Linked DNA regions of Xenopus tropicalis. The protein of the gene in region 1 purifies or fractionates together with the protein of each later gene. This does not show direct contact. Links are inferred from orthologs where the notes say so. Each region holds a gene or a part of one and is shown in the gene's direction. Other genes may lie near its edges. The genes, in order: dcaf1, cops7b, cul4b, cep78, dyrk2 and cul4a.

What was found.
Region 2: the proteins of dcaf1 (region 1) and cops7b purify together in Homo sapiens (affinity purification with mass spectrometry; 3 studies listed by BioGRID, with this or other methods). This does not show direct contact. The link is inferred for Xenopus tropicalis from reciprocal best matches to the Homo sapiens genes DCAF1 and COPS7B.
Region 3: the proteins of dcaf1 (region 1) and cul4b purify together in Homo sapiens (affinity purification with mass spectrometry; 9 studies listed by BioGRID and IntAct, with this or other methods). This does not show direct contact. The link is inferred for Xenopus tropicalis from reciprocal best matches to the Homo sapiens genes DCAF1 and CUL4B.
Region 4: the proteins of dcaf1 (region 1) and cep78 purify together in Homo sapiens (affinity purification with western blotting; 3 studies listed by BioGRID, with this or other methods). This does not show direct contact. The link is inferred for Xenopus tropicalis from reciprocal best matches to the Homo sapiens genes DCAF1 and CEP78.
Region 5: the proteins of dcaf1 (region 1) and dyrk2 purify together in Homo sapiens (affinity purification with western blotting; 5 studies listed by BioGRID and IntAct, with this or other methods). This does not show direct contact. The link is inferred for Xenopus tropicalis from reciprocal best matches to the Homo sapiens genes DCAF1 and DYRK2.
Region 6: the proteins of dcaf1 (region 1) and cul4a purify together in Homo sapiens (affinity purification with western blotting; 15 studies listed by BioGRID and IntAct, with this or other methods). This does not show direct contact. The link is inferred for Xenopus tropicalis from reciprocal best matches to the Homo sapiens genes DCAF1 and CUL4A.

The regions. Positions count from the first base shown.
Region 1 is NC_030680.2:127,315,037-127,318,536, forward strand, and holds part of dcaf1 (DDB1- and CUL4-associated factor 1), read left to right. Parts: coding exon 1-1,171; intron 1,172-1,281; coding exon 1,282-1,480; intron 1,481-2,188; coding exon 2,189-2,271; intron 2,272-2,377; coding exon 2,378-2,462; intron 2,463-3,500. UniProt on the Homo sapiens protein: Acts both as a substrate recognition component of E3 ubiquitin-protein ligase complexes and as an atypical serine/threonine-protein kinase, playing key roles in various processes such as cell cycle, telomerase regulation and histone modification.
Region 2 is NC_030681.2:101,190,800-101,194,814, forward strand, and holds the start of cops7b (COP9 signalosome complex subunit 7b), read left to right. Parts: upstream 1-1,215; 5' UTR 1,216-1,473; exon of another isoform or gene 1,474-1,505; intron 1,506-3,065; 5' UTR 3,066-3,088; coding exon 3,089-3,250; intron 3,251-4,015. UniProt on the Homo sapiens protein: Component of the COP9 signalosome complex (CSN), a complex involved in various cellular and developmental processes.
Region 3 is NC_030684.2:46,091,676-46,095,908, reverse strand, and holds the start of cul4b (cullin-4B), read left to right. Parts: upstream 1-1,433; 5' UTR 1,434-1,625; coding exon 1,626-2,037; intron 2,038-4,233.
Region 4 is NC_030677.2:132,575,132-132,578,631, forward strand, and holds part of cep78 (centrosomal protein of 78 kDa), read left to right. Parts: intron 1-1,205; coding exon 1,206-1,372; intron 1,373-2,568; coding exon 2,569-2,746; intron 2,747-3,307; coding exon 3,308-3,500. UniProt on the Homo sapiens protein: Centriole wall protein that localizes to mature centrioles and regulates centriole and cilia biogenesis. Involved in centrosome duplication: required for efficient PLK4 centrosomal localization and PLK4-induced overduplication of centrioles.
Region 5 is NC_030679.2:58,472,271-58,476,485, forward strand, and holds the start of dyrk2 (dual specificity tyrosine-phosphorylation-regulated kinase 2), read left to right. Parts: upstream 1-1,415; 5' UTR 1,416-1,440; coding exon 1,441-1,591; intron 1,592-1,611; exon of another isoform or gene 1,612-1,727; coding exon of another isoform or gene 1,728-1,854; intron 1,855-2,300; coding exon 2,301-2,425; intron 2,426-4,215. UniProt on the Homo sapiens protein: Serine/threonine-protein kinase involved in the regulation of the mitotic cell cycle, cell proliferation, apoptosis, organization of the cytoskeleton and neurite outgrowth. Functions in part via its role in ubiquitin-dependent proteasomal protein degradation.
Region 6 is NC_030678.2:116,032,484-116,036,665, reverse strand, and holds the start of cul4a (cullin-4A), read left to right. Parts: upstream 1-1,382; 5' UTR 1,383-1,401; intron 1,402-1,436; exon of another isoform or gene 1,437-1,532; intron 1,533-1,559; exon of another isoform or gene 1,560-1,667; intron 1,668-4,182. UniProt on the Homo sapiens protein: Core component of multiple cullin-RING-based E3 ubiquitin-protein ligase complexes which mediate the ubiquitination of target proteins. As a scaffold protein may contribute to catalysis through positioning of the substrate and the ubiquitin-conjugating enzyme.

The DNA.
Region 1 (3,500 bases):
ACTGTGTTTGTGCTCCTGAAACGCGAGTCTCCAGCATTGGCAAGTATGTCTCTGGGACACCTCGAAGAAGGGGACTTGTTTGTCCGACCTTCCATCATCACGGACGTGGAGAGCCTACACTTTCCAAGATGTGGAATGTTGTCCAATCTAATAATGGTATCAAAGTTCTTTTGTCTTTGCTGTCTGTTAAAATGCCCATCACGGATGCCGATCAGATCAGGGCTTTGGCTTGCAAGGCACTAGTTGGCCTAAGCAGGAGCACTTCAGTTCGACAAATTATTTCAAAGCTGCCCCTGTTCAGCAGCAGCCAGATCCAGCAGCTGATGAAAGAGCCAATCCTCCAGGACAAGCGTAGTGAGCATGTGCGGTTCTGCAAGTATGCAGCCGAGTTGATTGAGCGAGTGTCTGGGAAGCCACTGCTAATGGGAAGTGATGTGTCTCTTGCACGCCTGCAAAAGGCAGATGTAGTAGCACAATCTCGTATTACATTCCCTGAAAAAGAACTCTTGCTACTAATACGGAATCACCTGGTATCCAAGGGATTGCAGGAAACTGTGGCCACATTGACGCGAGAGGCTGATCTACCTATGACTGCTGCTTTGCATTCTTCTACCTACCTGCCTGCCACTGCTACCCAACCACCCACTACTTCTTCACCTGTTTCTCTGCCACGCACACCACGGATCCCTGCTAGACTTTCAAGTACAGCACTGTGCCCTCACCCTCCTTCTTCAAGACCTCAGTTACCACCACCTTTATCATCTCCTGCCCCAGTATCCACAGGCTCACCACTCATTGGGCGTATCAGCTTTGCTCGAGAACGGCAGTCACCTTGTAATGGAAAGAGGGGGCGTGTTCTGCGGCAGAAATCAGATCATGGAGCCTATAGCCAAAGCCCTGCCTTCAGAAAGCAAATGGAAAGACATGTGCCGTCTCCTCCCACTCTGGACAGCATTATGACTGAGTATCTGCGAGAACAGCATGCACGCTGCAAGAATCCAGTTGCTATATGCCCCCCTTTCTCCCTCTTTACTCCACATCAGTGCCCAGAGCCTAAACAACGCAGGCAAGCCCCTACAAACTGCACTTCCAGATTAACCCGACGTGCTGCCTTTCCCAAATATGGAGGTGTAGATGGGGGCTGTTTTGACCGACATCTAATATTCAGCAGGTAATGTAGGGGACCACATAATTATGTTTGGAATTTCTTGTTTTGAGAAGACTCAAGGGAAACCTGGAACAAATGCTTTTAGAGTCTAATGTTATCTTCCTTGTTGGCAGGTTCCGTCCAATATCTGTGTTTCGTGAAACCAATGAAGATGAGAGTGGTTTCACCTGTTGTGCATTCTCTGCACGTGAGCGCTTTCTGATGTTGGGAACGTGCACAGGGCAGTTGAAACTATACAACGTGTTTAGTGGGCAGGAAGAAGCTAGTTACAATTGCCATATCTCTGCAATAACACACTTGGAGCCATCTCGGGTAAGCATCATTCAGTTAATAACCTCCCTGCCTTTGCCTGGCCTGCATCTCACTTTTTCAGTCTCTCCTTTTATAGGGGAACTAAAACCTAAAAATGAATATGGATAAAAATGCCATATTTTATATACTGAATATATTGCACAGCCTAAAGTTTCAGCATCTCTATAGAAGCATGACCAGACTTTAAAACTTGTCACAGGAGCTCCCTAACTCGGAAGTGTCTTTGACACTCACATGCTCCGTATGCTCTTAGCAGCTGTTGAGAAGCTAAGCTTAGGATTTGTCGCAAATTATCAGGCAGAAAATGAGGTTCAGCTGTCATATAAGCTGATGATACAGGGCTGATTATTAAATTGTGATGCTAATTGCACTGGTTTCAGAGCTGCCATGTAGTAATTATATGTATTCTTTTCTAAATCAGCCTTATATTATGACATTTATTTTCTATATATACAGTATATTGTGCATCAGCCCCTAAGCTCAGTAACTAACAGCAGCACAGAGCATGTATAGTGAATCAGCAAAGAAGATGGGGAGCTACTGGGGGCATCTTTGGGGGCACAGATCTTCCCTGCTAAAGGGCTGTGGGTGCCACGCGCTGGTGCAGAAGCCAGAAACATAATGTACAATATTTCTGCCCTACTTCTTTAATTAGGCTTTAGTTCTCCTTTAAACTCCCAGTCAACCTTTCCTGTCCTTCTCTCACAGGATGGGTCTCTTCTTCTAACTGCAGCCACATGGAGCCAACCTCTCTCAGCACTTTGGAGCATGAAATCTGTATTTGAAATGAAGTGAGTTTGCTAGGTTAACAAATAGTCCTTAGAAAAAGTGCTCCTGTTTAAAAACACAACCATCTTTAGGGGCAGTTTTTAATCTCAACTACATTTTCATTTCTAGGCATTCATTTACTGAGGATCATTATGTTGAATTCAGCAAACTTTCACAGGATCGTGTCATTGGCACAAAAGAAGATGTGGCTCATGTGAGTATTTACCTTTTTGGCTGTGGAATTAGCTCTCAACCAATCTTTGTTGTACTGGTATTGGACCTCCTATCCAGAATATTTAGGACCTGGGTTTTTTTTAAATAAGTTTCTGTAATGTAGATCTCCTTACCTTGTCTACTGAAAAATAAATTTAGCTTTAAATAAACACAAAAGAATTATTTTGCCTCCAATAGGGATTCATTATATCTTAGTTGTGAACTTGTGATCAAGTACAAATACTGTTTTATTACTACAGTGAAAAAGGAAATTATTTTTAAAAATGTAAATTGTTTAATTAAACTGCAGTCTATGGGAGATGGCCTACTTGTAATTCAGAATACAGAATAACGTGTATATACCATATATAATACAACATATATTCTATGGCAGATTTTGAACCTTTCAAACGTAAAAATCTAGGAGAAGCCAAACATTCAGAAGAAGACTGTATATTATTGCATTGTTAGGAGCCGACCGGCTCACAGCAAATGTTATAGTAGAGTTCAATGTAGAAGAGAAGAAAAGCTCATTTGACTGCTTGGGTTATTATCATATTACATGGTGGGCTCATGTAGATGGCCAGCTTATATCAACCCCTAAGTTTGAATTACAACGTTATCTAATGCCCTGGACTATTTCACTATTGTAGAACCATAAAATAAGCAACTAAGGCCTCCAAGGCTGTTGTGAGCTAAAAACCTCCCAGGAGCTTTAGTTGCCAGTCTGCTCTGATTTATGGATAGTATATGAAATTATTTAGTACATTAAAGGGGTTTTTCACCTTTGTACAACATTCACAAATCTAATAGTTAACAGAACTATCTTTGTCATATACATAGTTAACAGAAATGTGCAGCTGAAGAGAGATTCGTCTCAGAATCACACATAGTACTGGCAGCATGCTTAACTCCTATTGGCTGTGTCTCCTGTCAGTCTGGCACTACTTCCTGTGCAGAGTGATACAAATCTAATTTAACAGTATTTTAGATTTGTGAAATGTTGTCTGTTTGAATATGCAATTTCAAGGGAGAAATT
Region 2 (4,015 bases), on another chromosome or scaffold:
GCGCCGAAGTTTCCTCTCAAAGGGAAATCGCGTATGCCATCCCACCGGCGATTTACATACTCGCTGGTGAGATGGTATTTCGGGGCGACTAGTCACCCGCAACAAGGGAGATTTGTCGCGGGCGACTAGTCTCCCTGTCTGAGACAGCCCTTAAAAGGTCTTTACAATTGTTCCAATAGAGTAACACCCTAAAACTCAATACTAAAAGATGGGGGCCCCACCCACCTCTACCTCCTTCAACAGACAAGGCAAAAATAAAAATCACAATTTAATAGTATTGAATATATCTATCACATTAAAAACACCTTAAAAATTTGGCTGGCCAGCCTACCAATATTCACAATAACATATAATCACAGTAAAAACTAGTACCTCACTTCAATTCACATATATTAAAAAAGCAAAAATTAAAAAGGTAATGAATTTGGAGAGAATTGTTTTTTAAGGTGACCGCAAGCACAAGTTCCAATACAATGAATCTAGTGGGATAATTGAGAGGTTAACCCCTTGCACATTTCTTAACTCCTACTATGGATAACCAATGATGTTATGCAGGATTTTTTGGCAAAGTCACGATCCTTTAGTTTAATATAGTCAGTGGGATTATAAAGAAATTTATCATTTGCATGCTTCCTGATATGGGCTGTTAATAATAATGAGTTGGAAGTGTGCAACTGCTAAATCTCTCCTGCCCTAATAGAATCTAATAGAGTCCTAGCTTGCACTATTGTGGCTAATCCATTCACAGTAAAATGCCAAACTGTCTTTCCTTCTCCTTTAGTTGCCAGGCTTATTTCTTGCAGCAGGTAAGTTACAATTACAATTTTTACTGATTATGCAGCATCACCAGCTACATACACCTGACATATTGACACATACTAAGGTTGAATAAGATATGTTCCTACTTTAGTAGATTTAACCTAAAATACAACCCAATATCTTCCCAACTATGTTAATATCAATCAATTACACTTTTACCGCCTGAAACCAATAGTCAGTGTATGTATTTTGACCCTTTTCGTGTCCCGTACAACTTTTCTCCGTTTCTATGCGACGTGAGGTTTCTCTACTTAATGACGCGCGAGCACTCAACCACACTTGAAATCGATTTGTCCCGCCCTGCGTGCGACGTTCTCTCTCCTAATTGGTGCGTGGCGATATCGCTCAGCAGGGATTCCGACTGTGATTGGCCGGTGCTAGCATTTTTGTTGAATTGTACTAAACGTCATAGGGCAAATAGGAGGAACTGATGTAGCTTAGTAAATCTTCCTATCCAGAGCCTCTTGACAAGGGGGTAGTTGTTAAATCCATGCCGAAATAACGAGTAATTACTATACGATTCCGAAAAGCAGCGCAGTATTATAGAGTTCTTCCCAGTGCCGTGGCCCTGGGACCTCTGTGTTACGGAAAGCTAATCAGGGCGTCTGTCAGAGGCAGAATCCACGCTGCTCGCCTCCAGGTGCAAGTAAAACTGCAAATTCTGTTCAGGATTATTACTCTATGTGGTGGGTGTGATGTGGATATGGGTGTGAAACTACTACTTTTAGCTATTTATGCTGCTAGATTACCCAGCCAGATAGCCAGCTTGCACCAGATAAGACTACTTTTTACCAAAAAGACGTACTGACGCTTGATAAACTGGCTTGTTTATTACATTTACCAGTAGTGTAATTACACCTGTGTAAAAGATGCACATTTGTCAATGTGAAGTTAATATGCAACAACATTTGTTGTACTATGGGTTTAGTAAATTGCAAATATTGTGGCAAATCTTTGTTATGCCAAAAGTTTGTCAAACTTGACATTTTTGTGCTTTAGCAAATGTGCTTTGTCCTTTTGTAACCATTGCCAAAAAAGGATTCATATAACCCAGTTACAATTCCCTTGACATTGAAGCTGTCATATATTTGACAGTTGTGGCACTATATGCCCAAAAATGACGATATACTTACTGGTGCTTCCTTTATCTGTAATAAAAACGCACAAATACTAGAGTATTGTAGAAATGATACCTATATTGGCTAACAATAAAAATACATTGTAAGCTTTCGGAGCTCTAAGGCCCCTTCGTCAGGATAAATACAAATGAAAACTGAAATGAAAAAGATTCCAGTTTTCATTTGTATTGTGCCTGACGAAGGGGCTTTAGAGCTCCGAAAGCTTGCAGTGTATTTTTATTGTTAGCCAATATAGGTATAATTTCTACAATACTCCTTGTATTTGTGTTTTCTTATTATTTTTGACACTGGCTAACACGGTACTACAGTTTTTGTTTTGTTTCTTTATCTGGACACTATTGACACCAACTACACATAGAATTGTAATGTTATATGGGTGATTGAAGGTTGTAGTTTAATAGTAATCATTAAAATAAAATAGAGGATTAGTTGTCTTTTAATAATGCTATTTAATAAATAATAGGCCACAATCAAGAGCCATTTTCCCTGTTTTGGGCTTCATAATTGATTGCATAACATAAAAATTGTTTGTCTGAGAGAGCCCAAGTGTGTTCTTCTTCAAAGAGCTTGGTGCCTTTTTTATGATCATGGAATTTCATTGTGAATTTTAATAACCTTAATAACTTAACCATATGTGGTACAATTTTCCTATATATTGCACATCAGACATACTTTTCAAGCAGCTTCTGGGCTGCTGTCTTTGTTTTACACCACTGTGTGCCTCGATGGAATTATATTTCATCTAATTATTATTTTAAACTTTTTTCTTTAGTAGTTATGTATTTGATTAGAATATTCTCCACTGAACACTGCAGCGGTTCATACTTGCATAAATAAATGTTTACCACAGCAGAGGTAAATCTTGACAGACATAGACATCTTTATAGACAACTTAATTGTAGCAGTAGTGGCATCGCCAGATTATATCTGTAAATGCGAATACACTAAGAATAAATGTTGAATGTACAGAATGTTTGCCGCCCCACTCCGAAAGTATATTTTTTATGTAAACAAGTTAAATGTAACCCTGAAAGTGCATAATTTTCCTTTGAATTAGCTGACATTTATTGTTCATGCCATGTAACTTTTTTTGCTTCTTATTTATAGAGTTGTAGGAGAACAACTATAGCATGGCAGGAGAACAAAAGCCATCCAGTAACATTCTGGAGCAGTTTATTTTATTAGCCAAAGGCACAAAAGGTTCAGCCCTTCCAGCTCTTATAAACCAAGTATTAGAGGCTCCTGGAGTCTATGTATTTGGGGAACTTTTAGATTTACTTAACGTGCAAGAGGTAAGGATGAAGGCTACTGTTTCTTTCTCTAATAATGTTTTTTTAACCTGCTGAAACTTTAGGCACAATACTTGTCCAATAAAAACTGTATAGCTGTGCAGAAAATCTTCTAAAATCATAAAATGTTAAAGGAATAGTAATAATGCTGCTTTTACAGTGGTCATTATGAACCCTTTTGAATGTTTTTTTTATTGCAACTGATCATTGCTTCTTATTTTGGCATCTGTATAGGACACTGCTACTAGTGAGGAAACACTGCTGCCATATTGCTTAGTTGACAATTCACTAAATTCAGTATCAGTGAACAAATATATTTGAGGGAAAATATAATCATCTTTTAACACCAGACACTCTGGTTGTTCAAAGATTAATAGTAAGTCTGCAGCATCCCCTTAAAGGAACAGTTCAGTGTAAAAATGAAACTGCGTAATATAGATAGACTGCGCAAAATTAAAAATATTTCTAATATAGTTAGTTGGCAAAAATGTAATCTATAAAGGCTGGAGTGGGTAGATGCCTAACATATTAGCAAGAAGTCCACTTCTACCTGCTTTCAGCTCTCTAACCTCATAGTTAGTCGGTGACTTTAGGGGGGGTCACGTGGGACATAACTGTTCAGGTAGTTTGTGAGCACGCAGGTCAGATTCAAATGCAAACGGACTGAAAATTTATGTCCCATATGGCCCCCCCCTCAAGTCACTGAATGGTAATTCAGTTGGTATTAGGCTGTGCAAAATAAATAATATTTCTAATATAGTTAGTTAG
Region 3 (4,233 bases), on another chromosome or scaffold:
ACACAAGGCTCTTTAAGTTACCTGAAGGGGCTTTTTGCCGCCTCCAGTAACTTGCCAGGCAATACAGCCTAATGTGAGTTTCTCAACTCGCCTCATGGCAGCAACGCCCGTGAGTTCTACAAACACCTAGCTTCAACATTATTTGGGTATATATAGTTTATATTTGTAAGTGTATAGATTGGTCTATATAGGTATGTGTATTTTTGTGCACTGGGGTTTTTAGAGATGTTGAACTTGATAGGCTTTGGGCTTTTGTCAACCCAAATTAGTTATTTAGTTATATGTAACATCTCTATTAAGCTTTACCAGATGATTCATAAGTGCTTTATGCAGTGACCAGTGCTTGCATATCTGTTAAAAAAAAAAAACAATTGAATAGGGTCAAGTGCTGAAACTAAGTATGAGCATACACCTTTTGGTGTGCTTAACATGTGTTGTTTTTGCTGGTGTTATAACTTGTATGCAGGCTCACAAGCACATAGAGAACCCAGAATAGCTGCTTTATAAAAAAAAAACACATTCAGCCATTGCTTTCAGTCAGAATCTGGTATACAGCTGCGTAATCCAATGGGAAGCCTTACTCTCCCAGAGATTATTATATCACCCAAATTGACCACTTTGTATGATATAAGTTTATTTTAATCTGGCACTTAAATGAATAGTGGGGTTAATATATGTACTTTTCATCCCTGCTATACACGCCATTATACATTGCTTTCAGACACAAACTTCATGTTTGACGCTTACTGAGTAGTAGTACTGAGTAGTTACTGAGGAGCTTCCACAAGGAACTCATTTTAAGCGGGAAGCGTCACACGCAACTACTGGCGCTCTCCTTTATGTAACTATTCTAAGCCTCTCCGGCCCCCACGCTGCTGAACAGGCGGTACCATGTGGAGGCATCAGGGGGAAATGTCACCCAAACCAAGCTGATTATTGGTCCTTATTCCCTTTAGGCGTCACTACAGAGGCGGGAATATTCAACCCTCGACTCCTCCCCCTCGAGTAGTTTCCAGCCTCAGCCCCTTCCTTCCCCTTGTCGGGACTCCTCGCCGGCACCAACCTAAGGCGGAAGCTCGGCGAGGAGAAAGGGGACGGATGAGGCCCGCACGGTCGGGCATTATGAAAGACCTCATCGCTAGTCCTTCCGGTCAGTCAAAACAAGGTACGAAGGTTGCCATGACATCACAGTAGAATAAAAAGGGGAGGGGAGAGAGGGAACACAGCCAGCCTTTCGCGCTATAGTTAATGCAGTAAGCGCTACCCCTTTGGTTTTGATAGTTTGGCAGCAGCTGGCGTCAAAGGCTCCCTGACTGTCCCGGCTGGGAAGGGGTGTGGGCTCACGGCAGCCTCCTGGGGAACTCTTCCCAACATGCACTGCGAGAGGAAGTGAGGCCATCTTTGGTTCCCTGCTCTTGTGACAATAAACAAGAAAAAGAGTGGGGATATCCGGAGAGCGGGGCCGGGGCCTTCACCGAGCAGAACTAAAGCAGAGTGCCTGCCGAGGGGGCCACTGGGAAGCGCTAACCAAAGGGCCACGTTAGCTGTTTGTTGCGGTCCCCACACGATCCAGCGGTCACACACAGTCTGGGCTGCCTTGAATCTTTTCTATTTGTGGTGTTTTCATGTTTCCCACAGGCTTATCAACCCCCAACCCCCCGGCGCAGGAGGTAAGGACTGAGGGAAACAGCACCTCCAAAAAGAGAAGGTTGAATATCAGCAGCAGCGATAAGGACGATTTGGACCCCCTGTCGCCCCCCAGAAACTCCTCTTCCTCCTCTAACCACATCCAAAAGAAGCTGCGTTTTGAAGACACTTTGGACTTTCTAGGACTCGATGTGAAGATGGCCGAGGAGTCTCCTTCTTCTTCCTGCTCATCCTCCTCTACTCCCCAGGCAGTGAGGAGTAAAAACCTGCTCATCTCCCCAGTGGGCGTTGGGCATCATGCCAATGGCCTCACAAAAGCCTCACCCGTGTCCAGTTTTGCCAACAGCAAGCCTGGCTCAGCCAAGAAGTTAGTCATCAAGAACTTTAAAGGTAAAGAGGGATGGCACCATTCAATCAGCTCTTTGATAGGTCACTTCAGGGAGTGTAATACTTTGACCAGAATGTGCTTAAGGACCAGGTGATTACAAGGGTGCTCTGGTCAAAATAAAATCTCCTTTAATTTGGAATTCAGAAACTAGCATGCTGTCTTGTGTCACCCAGTAGTTTGGGGCAAACGTTTGCCTGTTTGGTTTTTTCATGATGGTAAAATTACAGTTTCCTTTTGGCGTTATTTTATTATGGTTGAATCTATCTGGAATGGCAGTTTTGACTTCTAAGGGCTTGTGTATTGATGCACTCCTAACCAGCATAAAGCCAAAGTGTTTTAAGCTGGTAATGCTTGATTCTTTCTATAGGGATCCGCAATATTTTGGAGCACTTAGGGGATTTGATGCTTGTTACAAGCATTCCTGTTTGACCCAACCAGATCTGTGTGTCAATACTAAGAGCGCTACAGTTAAGGGATATCTTCAATGCAAAGGCAATCTTTTCTATTAAAAAAAAAATCTTTGTCACAACCGATCTAAGCTGCAGTGTCAATATTCCTGTGGGACTCATTGGCCAAAGCCATTTTTTTTTTTTTTTTTAGTATCTCATGGGACCAGTGCCAAAACACTGAAAATCTTTCTTCAATGTCCACTTCCAGAATAATTTGAAAGTGAACACTGTTTATTTTAGGCATTTGTCTACACACAACACACAAATCATGCTGGTGTTAGTGAAGCAACATTCAGGACTAAACTACACGGGAGCTTTTGTAGGATGGTTTCAGATCAACAGAAAGCATCCTTGCCCTTAGGGCTCTGGCACACGGGGAGATTAGTCGCCCGCGACTAATCTCCCTGAAATGCCATCCCACCTGTGTCTCGGGCATACGGGGTGGCGCGATTTCAATGAAATCGCGCAGGTTTCCTCTCGAGGCAACTTGCGCAATTTCACTGAAATCACGCCGCCAGCGATTTACATTTTCGCAGGTGGGATGGCAATCTGGGGAGATTAGTCGACCGCGAACAGGGAGTTTTGTTGTGGGCGACTAATTTCCCCATGTGCCAGAGCCCTTAGACAATCTGCTAAATAACTGTTAAGGTGATAACTGCAACACTTTACACAGATTTGTGAGGCTATTCACCATTTACTAACATGGCTAATCAGAATCAGGTCAGGCTGGTTCATTTTGGGCCCACACAGAAGTGTGTTTGTTGACATTTGCAAACAGATTGTTTAGTGGTATCAATGTGGCTTCTGGCCCTGATCTCTTTAGGGCTCTGGCACATGGGGAGATTAGTTGCCCGCGACAAATCTCCCTGTTCGCGGGCGACTAATTTCCCCGAAATGCCATCCCACCGGCGAAAATGTAAATCGGGATGGCGCGATTTCAGTGAAATCACGGATGTTTCCTCAAGGCAATTTCCGCGATTTCACTGAAATTGCCCTGCCGCATATGCCATCCCACTGGCGATTTACATTTTCGGGGAGATTAGTCGCCCGCGAACAGGGAGATTTGTCGCGGGCGACTAATCTCCCCGTGTGCCAGAGGCCTTAGTGCAAAGTGGGGGAATTTAATAATTTCTAAGAAATTTCTATCAGTTATTGGTGCATGAGCATTATGCAAACTGCAATGCATGTGCACCAGTTGCTAAGTGGGGGGGGGGTAAACTAGGCTGGTGCCTAGGATGGCACATGACCAATATACAGCCCTGGGTATGCCCATAATAAATTTATATATAAAGGTTTAGCTGATGCAGCTAAAATAAGGTAGAAACTCAGGAAATTGTGCTGTTAGTTTGCCTTTAAAAAGTAGTAATTGTATGTAAAAAAAAAAAATTACTCTGTTTTGGCAAAAGACCTTACCAGCCTCTTCATTTTTTTGTACAACTGGTATTAAGTGCTTGTGATTTTTTCTGATATACTAATAGTACAACTAATCCTATATCAAACAGACACAATGCACACCTAAATTGTAGTACTGTTTCATATACAGGCTTGAAGTAGAAATGAAGGAATTCTCGGCAAAAGAACTTGTCTGCTCATACAGTATAAAGGAGCATTGCCACATTTATTGGTAAACGGTGATACAAAGAGCAACAATACACTGTTTACTGTTTACAAAGGAGTATTATGTATGTCTATGTATTTGCAGTGGCAAACCTCTGCAGCACCAAGGGATACTTGCGTTTTTTTTTCTGG
Region 4 (3,500 bases), on another chromosome or scaffold:
AAACGAACATTTTGCGACCTTTTTCGTATTTTTTGCGATTTTTTCGGCGCCTTTACGACTTTTCGGAAATTGTCGCGACTTTTTCGTTACCAATACGATTTTCGCGAAAAAACGCGAGTTTTTCGTAGCCATTACGATTCGCTCGTATCTTGTCGCGACTTTTTCGTATTGAGTGCTCGTAAGTGGCGGGCGAAACTTTCAGACTTAGCATGATTTTGGAAGCCTCCCATAGGACTCAATGGCACCCTGCAGCTCCAACCTGGCCCAAGAAAAGTCACCATACTGAAGCTTGAATGAATCCGAACGCTAAGAAAAAATCGCAACATTTTGCGCAACTTTCGGAATGGCTACGAAAAAGGCGCGACTTTTCGCACAAGTTTTAACGCTACGAAAAAATCGCCAGATTTTGCGCAACATTCGGAATGGCAACGAAAAAGTTGCGATAATTTTCCGAAAAAATCGCCAAATACCGATCATTACGAAAAAAACGCAATCGGACGCATTCGGCCGGTTCGTGAGTAAGTAAATGGGCCCCTTAGACTCACACTTGTGCAGTAGAAAAAAATTAGAAAATCTAAGTCTTCTGTATCTAGTATAAATAAATTTAAAGCAACTGGACTTGTTAAGTAATCATTGAAGACGTTTCACTACTCATCCGAGCAGCTTCGTCAGTTCAACTGACTGGTATGGGAAGTCCTCAGCATATATACTCTTCCACTAATCCAATCACAATGGCACTTTGTAACTAAGTCTTCTGTGTATGCTCAAGTCTAAAGCTTGCCATACATTATATACTCCTAAGTGGCCGATATTGAGCTAATCCAACTTTTGGCCCTAGGGGGTCAAACAAGATGGTGGCATAGTGAGTGGTAGTTTTTTTCCCTGGGCTGGTGGTACTGTCCTTGCTGCTGTCTCAACTGCTGTCTCAATTACTAACTTTTCTATGAGATACTGCACATGTGCAGATTTGCCCAGTGTTAGAAAACTATCCCTAGTATTCCCATAATCTAGAGATGTAGGTGTTTAATTTATCAGTTTTTGTTTGCTTCCCCCATGAGTATTGGTAATGGCAATATAAACTATAATTTTGTTATGGAAGTCAGTACTTTATGGTTGCAATAATTCTTTTACATTTTATTCTTCTGATAAGATATTTATTCAGTCCTTCTTAGTCTATTCCAAGATATTTATGATCTTTGTTTTAGCTGGAGTTTGAAAACACTCGACTAAGGCAAATAAATCATACTCTTTCTGAGTCTCTTCACTCGAGGACAGCTACCTCTGTGATCTTGGAGGATGAAGGTGTCCTTGACAGCATTGAAAAGTCCTTCAGCAAGTTCCATGCGTTTCTGGATCTTCTAAAAGATGCAGGGTAAGTTGCATGTGATTGGAAATTGGAAGGAAAACAATTGCTGCCGCCAGGCATGTTCTGTAACCTAGTATAAGCATTCCACACTCGCACATGTCCGGCTCTTTTAAACTGCACCTAAACTGAAGTCTAACATTAACAAAAGGTGTAGGTTTGCTTTAAAACTATTAAATATATATATTATGTATTTATATATTTAAAATACTGTACTTTGCTCACTATAGTAGGTTGTGTTAGTACATTTTGTACAGGTATGTTCTGTGTGGGATGTAGGCATGTATACAGTGTGCAATTGTACAGGATCAACATTTTGCAGACACTATGGGGAAGATTTATCAAAGTCCGAATTTCAGATGTTTAAAAGTACGATTAGAAAGAATTTGGAGTAAATACGATAACTTCTAATGTGCATTAATTGCGTGAAAATTTGTACCGTGGTCATACCAAAATACCGTGGTACGATCCGAAAGTTACGAAAATTTCATATCCGAGCGATCGGAAACGGCGGGAAACCCGTTCTGACTTCAATGCATGATTTTGGAAGCTTCCCATCACGAAAAAGTCGTACTTTTTTAACGATATTATTGTTAACTGTACGAACAGTTCTAAACTTCAGAAAAAATACAATTTTTTTTTTAATCGTACCCATTCGGACTTTGATAAATCAGCCCCTATGGGGCCCATTCATTAAAGTACGATTGAGTATGAATTAATGTTTTTTCTAATTTTTAGAACTTTGCGTTATGTTCACAATATTTTCGTTAAATTCTGCGCATTTTTCACGGTTTGCGTGAATTTCCGCAACAAAAACGTATCCCAAATTTGTACTTTAATGAATGGGCCCCTTAAATGACTCCTGTATTTTATGCCTTGTTCATAACTTATTTAAAGTTTAGGGGTCCATTGTGCCTCTGCATTCTGAAACTTATTCTGGATTCTTTATTTACAATTGTTGTGATCTTTATAGTGCACATTTTTGCACCTGGTAGTTGTATTTGTATTGATACATTAGGGTCCCATATGTAGGTAATATGGCTTTCAGTATGTCTACTACACCTAGCAATTATTTTTGATCCTCAGTTTTTATTTGGAACTTTTAAAAGTGTGTAACAAGCAATTTGTATATGCTACAGAAACATTCCTATAGAAAAATATATAGTGATATTTGTTATCTTGTTATTATTTAATTTTTGCAAAAGAACCATAATAATTCCTGATCGCTTCTGCAGCCTGGGGCAGCTTGCTAACCTTGCAGGCATTGACCAGTCAGACTTTGCTCTGCCAGGGGATCCTCAGATGTCTTCTACTATTGATAAAATAGCCCAGCAGGCACCAATGCCACATCAAGATCAGCAAGAAACATTCTTTATCCATCAGGTAAGCAGGCACTTTTTTTTTAATACAGGTTGTCCTCACAAGGGATTCTTCTGTGGTGCATTTAGGCACTTGCACAGTTAGGCGTTATCTAAACTTGCACTGTAGGTGAATGGCGTGTGTTGTTGAAACTGACTGGCTTTTTTAGAACATGCATCTAGATTCTATAAAAATGGCAGAGACGCCCACAACAATCATTCATGCAGAATACCTGCCGAAATACATGGCTTTTTCATCGTAGCCATTAAAAAATCTTCCATCAAAGGAGAAACTTCTGCAGTGACCACCCTTACTTTACTGACAAAGACCCCCAGATTTTAATGAAAGGATGAAGGGTAGTCAGTTAATGATTGGGGGCTAGTGATGGAGCAATTTATATGTTCCTTTATTCCCCCTTTTCAAAAAAAGGGCTTTGTTTAAAACTTTTTAAAGCGATTTACAGTGACTGACAGAAATTAGCTGTATTTTGCTAAGCTGATTTCATTTTGCTTGATTTTGTCCAGGAGCTGGGAAAGCTTCAGTTTCATGTTGTCATTTTATGTTAATTCTTGATATTTTTTCTAGGCACAAAGCAGAGATAAGAAAGGTGAGCATACAGGCCCATCAGAATCCAATGCTTTGACTGCTGATACACTCCCTTCTTCCCGAGAGGCAGATAAATATTGTACCACCAGCCAGAAGAGCAAAGAAGGTTTTGATCCTGATCTAAAGGCCAGAGAGGCAAACGTGAACAGTGGGAGGCTTCCTGCTCTGGAGA
Region 5 (4,215 bases), on another chromosome or scaffold:
ACCCTAGATAAGTCAAGGAACTCTATTTAGCATACTAGAGCTAGAGTTTGGAATCTTATGATTCTTGCCTAGCAGTCATTGGTTTGTAGGTACTAGAAGAGATGGTTGGGACACAAAAACACTTTGCTTTTTGGTCAAATTGGGAGAAGAGATGGTGGAGGGTACTGCTAGGAGTTAAAGAAAATGTCTAGGACACCAATGTAAAAAAAAAAAAAAAAAAAGAAGAACATAAAAACTTGGTACCTAATAGTTGTCCTTAAATTGTAACAAAAATATAATCTTCACATAAAATGCCGGAATTAAATTCAAAACAACTCAAATTGTGTTTATGGGTAACAGTGGGTGACAGCTGGTGTGGTCTAACGTCTTTGCGAAATGGAGAAAACCACTTTCAGGACCAGTCTTCACCAACACCCTTTTGGGCCCAGAAACTTTCTGCTGCAGAACTGACAGGGAACCTGCATCAGTGAGGACCAGAGGAAACAAAGAGTAAGAATACTTTTCGTCAATTTCACCCATTGTTGTCTCCTAAATCTTATTTTGCCCCTTGTTAGTACAAAAATACCCTCAAAGTATATTAAAAAAAAGTTGACAATTTCACCTGTCCCTAACTTGTGCAAAAAATCTTTCTTTTTTTGAACAAATTGGACAAAAGGCTCTGATAAGCAGGTACTGTTGGCAAGAAGGAAAAAGTATATCTTTAGTTCCCTGGCAAAGTTGGAAATCTGAGCAGAAAACATAAATGAGTTTAAAAGAAATATTGAGAGCTGAGGTGAAGGAGTTTTTTTTCTTTTTCTCTAACAAAAGTGTTAGAATGAATGCATAAAAGCATGAGGTGGGATCAAACAATACACAAATCTATGACACATGTTATGCCGCACCAATGGCTAAAAGCCGCCAATGCAGAAGAAAAGTTTCAACTGCCAAAGAACGTACTAGATATGTGTATGGCAGTCGAAGTGTTAAAGTATGAGGTTAGACTGTTATTGTACAGCACTGCTTAATATGTTGGTGCTTTATAAATAAATGTTAATAATAAAGGTTGAGGTTGTTCTATCTGGAGGAAAGGTGCTTAGAGGGGATTATAGGCAGATAGTTGGGGTTTTTTTTCCCATGAAAATGTTGTCTCTGAAACACCAGCTATAACACACTGATTGCTGATAAATCACACCTTACATATCTTTCAGAGGGCATTAGTATATGAAACAGGAAAATTGGGAATTGTGTAATAACAGGAACAGTGAATTTACCCCCAAGCACACTGATCCCATCTTACATTACCAGTTGGCTAAACTCAAACGAGGGGGCATAAAGTTGCAGATAACATGAAGTTTGCAGGCCGCCATATCGCAGAGAAAGCAGTAGCCCAGAATCAGTTGGTACATTTCCCCCACTTGAATCTACCGCTGCACTACAGCGAACCCTCCGCAGGGCGGTCACATGGTACTGTCACGTGATCGTGATGTCATCAAGGTCCTTTCTGAGGCAGAGGGACCTAGACGCTACCGGGAAGGAACATGCAGGCACCCTAGCTGCCGCCCTCCACTCCGTAGTATGCAGCTCGCTGACAGCAAGGGGCCCGGTAATCCAAGTAAGTGAAGCACAGCCGGGCCCGGGGAGTCTGTTGCCCCCTCCCCCCTTACCAAATGGCGGCCCTGCCCAGTATTTGCTACAGGCAACGGTGGATGTTCGTTTAAGCAGAGTAGGGGGAGGGCGTTTGCTGCGCTATGGTAACCCTGGTTCTCTGTCAGTCCCCGCAATCTAGCGTTACCATGCACCCCCGGGGGGAAGCTCCCCTTTATTTACCCCAGGCTGCCAGCGTTCCTATTACTGTAACCCCCAGTCACATGCGAGGTGAGTTAATGGCATCCCCAGTGTCTTCCTCTCTGTATTGTTGTGCCAGGAACCCCTCTGCCCTAGCAATCATGCCGGGGGCATTGTGTAGCTCCGTACAGTGGGAGCAGCCTGAGCATTCAGTCCCCTGCACGGAAAGGCAATAAATCCGTGGGAGACTGACAGCAGTGCCAGCCAGACTCTCAGCAAAAATGCCGTCCGACTTGGAATTCCTGTTTCTTTCATTTTCCACTTGCGTTTAATGGCCGGCTAATCTGAGATCATAGGTTTATCCCTATTAACAACAGCAGCCTTTACTGTATTAGCGGCCCGAGTGCTACACATGGCGTATGGCTGACATAGCTAAACTAATGGCCGGTAAGCAGTAACAAGGGCTGAGACTGGCTGCATGTAGTTATTGGGGGACATTCCTTGCCCTGAGCTATGGTGTTTGTTTTGTGCTTCAGGCAGAGGAGGTAGAGGCACCGGTCAGCTGCAGCCCTCCCCGGGATTACCGCGATCTGCAGCCGGAACTGGCCCCCCATCCCCCGTGTCATTGCCGCCCCTCAGAACCGGCAATCCAACGCATACGGTAAGAACAGCTGCTATGGGAAATACTAGCAGGGCATAGCTTATCCTTTACCTACTTACCAATGGCAACAGAAATGAACATTTTGCCTCTTAATCCTGTGATTTCATACCTTCCCCTCCTCCATGTTTCCAATTCCAGCCAGATGATTGGTATTAATAGAAATAAATGTGCAAGGTACAGTCAGGCTGACAGCCAGACACTGTTAGTCTCTATCTCATCTCTGTGGAGCAGAGCTCAAGAAAACAGCAGGGCTGATTCCCAGTACATTGTATGTGGACATTTATTTATTTATTTCTCACTCTACTTTTCTGATATTTTCTTGGAGAATGGAAGAAAGCTCCGTTTTAAAATGTGCAATGTTTTGATTTTTATTAGATTAAGCCACACCCATGCTTATGGGAAATTGAAAGCACAATTATATAATAATAAGCATATGATTTCAAATCATGGGGGTTTTAGTAGTGTGTTTGTTTCTGGTTATTAAACATCTTTCTGAATTATATTTAATACTTATATGCAGGTAGCACTCTCCTGTATATGCAATTGGTTTCATAGCTTTCCAGAACTGCTCAAGTGATGCTTTTTTTATTTTAAGAAATGTATAATTTAGTTAAATGTATTAGATGCAGAATATCAGATTATACTCAGGGCATGGAGTGACTGTTTCATTTGTCATCTCATTTTACTATCATAACGCAGATGTATATATAATATTAATGACATCAAATGTTATGGAGCTTACAGTTTTCATTTAACAGTGTTTTTGTAATGCCTGTCCTTTTAAAAGGACAGAGGTTCTGTCAAGTTTTTACTCCTTTGCAATCGGTATTCATAGAAACAGATCATTTCAATATGAGTAGAGCAGCTGCCATATTAGTGGAGCAGTTGCTCCCTGACAGCTGCTCTGCTTTGAAATATATTTTAGAACGGCATTTAGAGGAACAGGCTTTTGCAGCTACATTTTGTGCATGTATAGGAGTTACAGAGTTTTTTGGTTTATGGCATGTATTGCATGTATGGTACTCCAATTTGTTTTCCCCCTTAGGTTACTGACACAGAGCAATCTGAAAACATTAACTTTTTGTAGCTTTGTGGGCAGGGGATAATGCTACAAATTGTCCCTCCGTTAGCTTTAAATTGAATTTAGCTGGGGCAGTTTTGTGCATGTAATTACCACTTGACATTTTGGAGCAATAATCGCATAACACTGCACCGGATGCTTTAAACTAATTCATTGCTATTGAAGGGCATCTTTGGAGTGTTCCCCCTGCCTCTGGAGCTACAACAAAGTATAATAAACCATGCATAGTGCAGGATATTTTGAGTATGTCAGCTACTTGAAAACAGTGGTGATAACCAGTAAATGAGGCTTAGATTACAGTTCCGTGGCAGCCTTGCCAAACAAGCAGATTTAGGCCAGCTCTTTTGAATTCAACCAACAATTTGTACACAGCTATGTAGAAACATTACAGATCATTTTTCTGTTAATTCTCATCTTTAAATATGTATGGTATTGATGCAAGGATCTAGAATTGTGTCAGTGTGGGGTGTTGCAGTCTCTGGGGGAATGTAGGACATTTACTCAAATATTGTAAAAACACGTAGGAAATCCATTGAAAATCACCGTACTGGTTAAATTTAGAAACTGTATAATTTGAGGAATATATCCGTTTAGTTTTCTCTAAATAGTAATGCATGCAAGGGTATTGCTTACTGCTGAATGCACTGAGCATCCCAAGTTAACTGCAAGTGTTGGTTATAACCTATATTTCATTACATTTCACTACATT
Region 6 (4,182 bases), on another chromosome or scaffold:
ACATTTACACTGTTTCCAGTTAATACAGACACACTGTAGTTTGACAAAAGGGTGTTCAATCAGAATATTACAACTACAATGAGTTAAAAGTGACAGCATCAAACACTGAGAAAAAATTCTATACTACTGTTTAAAAAGGGTAGTTTGCCTTAGAAACCGTTTTTCCATTAATTTGTTTTCACGCACATCGTCAACAATTAGATTGTTTAACTTTTTGTAAGATTTAAAGGGGTGGTTAACCTTTAAGGTAACTTTTAGTATGTTATTGAATGGCCAATTCTAAGCAACCTTTCAATTTGTCTTCAATATTTATAGGTTTTTTTTTAATTATTTGCGGTTTTCTTCTAACCTTTTGTAGCTTTCAGAAAACTATTGCCCTGTGAGATTACAATTTTGTTATTATTACTGAATAGGTCCTCTCCTATTCATATACCAGCCTCTCATTCAAACCACTCCCTGGTTGCTAAGGTAATTTGGACTCTAGAAACCAGATAGCTGCTAAAACCAAACTCAATTCAAAACTGAACCACCCCTTTAATTTTAAATGTAAATCTTTTTATATAGTATTTTACTGTAGTGCCTCAAAATCAAGATGCAGGCTCTCTACAGTGTTACAATTTGCTACATTTGTTGCTTCATTTCTAAGAAGACTAAGAAGAATAAGATGGAATGTATCAACTGTTAAAAAGGTTGCATAAATACTATATGCATTGCCATGAGCAAAATGTGTCGGCAATGAATTTTAATGTAATGAATGCCAGCACTCTAGGATTAGGGAGAGAATTGGGGAAGAGTCCAGACTAAGACCATAGTAGTAACTTTTTTTTGTGAAATTGGAATTTTCTGTAGAGTGGTAGTCCTAATACAAACTCAAAAGTTTAAACCAGAAGTGAGTGTAAAGAATAGAAAGGAGTAGCAAATACATATTTCGATAACAATTATTTAAAAAAACTTTTTTTTCAATTTAAATGTATTGGAAAGTTGTGTAGGATTACATTTTCTCACATTACACAAAATGACAGTTTTGGACTGGTCATCCCCTTTGCAGAACTTCATCCTTACTGTGAAGACTACTGTCCTAAAGCCTAAAGCATTAAACACTGACCAAGAAACACGTGAGTTTCCATTCAAGCGCGCAATACAACCTGCCCAGAGATGGTGTCATGTACTTACCCTGAAAATAAAAGCAAAACATTCATATCTTAACAACAAATTAAGTAAGAAAATTGCATTTCGCTTTCCTACACAATTGTGCTCCTGCAAAGACAAAATTACTCTCGCTTAACTCCCCCGGAAACCGGCTATTGTGCCCCCTGACCCGGAAGTGACTGTACATATTATCAGCGGCTAATGCCGGTGATAGTTCCAGCCGCTATATGGAACGCCATTTTAATTACACAGGTAACCTCATAAATGTATGTTAACATTTCACTCACTCTGTGGCATATCTCTCAATTTCCATTCTGACAGCAGCTTTCTCAGGTTGTTTCATAGTGGGCGGGTCCTTGATGTAAACCGCAGCTAGACACGCCCCTTCGTGACATCATGTTCTCTTTTCCACTTCTTGGTCACGTGGCTGTGACATCACATTTGCACTCAATATGTTTTTTTTAAGACTTCGGGATCACCTTTAAACTGCTCCTTTTCCGGAAGTCGAGCGTTTGTTTGTAAGTCATTGCTGCAAAGAAAATCAGCGGCAGCTAAAGAGTCCTGGGGGATATGTTGTGTAACATTACTAGCTGCTATTTTGATTGTAATTGTGGGTGATTGGGCCGGCCTTGCCCCCCTCCCTGCTACATCTATGGGCCCCAGGCGGCTGCCCCAGCCGTCTCTATGTGTTTATTTGTGTTTAACAACTCTGTAAGCGCTAGCATTCGTAGTTGCAGGACCTTGGTGCCTTTAATGGCCGCTGACCTCTGAAATTTAACAGTTTCTGAAAAGCCTCACATTGTTGATCACTTGTGCAGCAGTACTTGGCTTTGGCGTTGAGGGCTAGGTGATCACCTAAAGAAGGAAGTCATGGGATCTGTCCAACCTGAGGCACCTCTGCTCGTTTTAATGGGGATATCCTCATATAAATTGTTTTTTTCCCTAATAATGCCATGTAAAATATACTTTCCAGTTTACATTAACATTTCAAGTTGTTTTAAATGTATGTGCTATTTAATGCAATATCTGTGTGTCTCTTTCTGTTGGCTGATATTGACTCCTGAGCCAGTGTAGCAGGTCAGTTTTCTAAGTCTATTAAAAGACATGTCAACCCAAAATAAATGTTGCCTAATAAAATAAAACATAATTCTAAGCAACCTTGTAATATGCATTCATAACAAATTTGTAATGGTTTTTAAGTTATTTGTAGATATTATTGCTATTGTCCTTTTCTATTCACTGCCCAGGTGGCTGTGGCTTTTGAAACAATATAACATAATCCAGCAGATAGACAGACCTGTCTTGCTGAAGGAGACTGGCTTTTCAGCATTGTTTTTAAAAGGCATAGCCACCAGTTAAGCAAATTCTGCCTTCAGTTGTACTTACAAATAACTTTTAAAGCACCAAAAACATTTTAATAAATTCATATTGGTTGCTTAGAACTATGTTTTTTTTTATTAGCTTTAATCCGCTGGTTTCTGCTAGATAGTTTCAGCAGAAGTGCCATGGTTGATGGGCACAGAGTAGTGACAGGCAGACCAGTGCACCAAAACAGTTAAGAGCAGAAGCGCCTATATCTGCTATGTGTATGTTAAACAGGGTGCTTGAGATTAAGAGCAGTGACAGGTGGAGATGGGTATTTTGACTGTGACTGTTCTCCTTCAGAGAGTAACAGTGGCGAAAATGCCCTATGTCCTATTACTTTCTCCTGAGTCTTCTGGCAGGCTGCAAGGTCTGTCACCGTTTTATGTACATTCAGAATGGAGCCATACACGTAGCAATTCTAAACTTTCCTGCGACCATCGGTCGTTTCGTTGATCCACCATACATGCATCGAATGAGGTTTCGTACAATATCATCTGTGTGTGTATGGCCAGCTTTACATTCAGTTCTGCCAGGAGGGGATGGACCATTGGACTGCAGCTATTCTGAGGGCACCAATGATCAAACACCTCTGTGCCATTAGTCTTAAAGGACATGGAAAGGCAAAGTCACTTAGGGGTGCCAAAATGTTAGGCACCTCCAAGTGACTTTAATCGCCTACCTTTTACCCCGGTCTGGTGCCCCTGTTGGGAGAGAATAGCACCAGCCCGGGGTAGCTGCATCGCTTCCTCCTTCCTGATCGCTTGCGCGCACATGCACAGAAGAGTGAAAAAGCTGAACTTTAACAAAGAAGTCGACTTTTCACTCTACCGCGCATGCGCCTACCGCATAGTCGCAGCTAAAAGTAGCAGGAAGGAGGAAGCGCATCACTCCACGTACCCCGGGCTGATGCTGTTTTCTCCTAACAGGGGCACCAGCCCGGGGTACAAGGTAAGCGATTAAAGTCACTTGGGGGTGTCTAACATTTTGGCACCCCCAAGTGACTTTGTCTTTCCTTGTCCTTTAATGTTGAACAGCAGCAGGGGAGCAGCACATAGCACATCCTTTAACTGTGATGGTGGTCTTTAATATCTCCTGTAATTATAGATACTTCTCAAGGGACAGTGGATATAGTTAATAACAAGCATCAGGTCTTTGAACCAATAAACACACTTTAGGGGCAGATTTATCAAAATGTGAAATTAGAAGTTTACCACAGAAAAATTCACCCACTTTCCATTCATTACTTTTGGGATTTTTAGAAGCGTATTTATCAAATAATGTACTTTTCCCATTGATAAATACACTTATTAGTGTTGTTGAAAAAACCTGCAGAGTGCTGTGAACTAAGCATTACTGGCACTCAGGCATTGAAATCATTTTTAAGGCTGTGCTCCTCTTTTTCCATTACATAGAGATTAGATGTAGATTTGGAGCTTTTTGTAGGCTTCCTTATAGTAATGTAGTTATTACCTTTTGTTTTTGTACAGCTGTGAAAAGGGACACATTAAGTGGAGTGGATGGGAGGACAGGCATATTGGAGCAGTAAAGTGTGTTGGCATGAAGATCAGCATCTTTATTATAGTTCTGTGACACATGGGGAGATTAGTCGCCGTGCGACATATCTTCCTTGTCGTGGGTGACTAATCTAAAAAAATGTAAATTGTAACT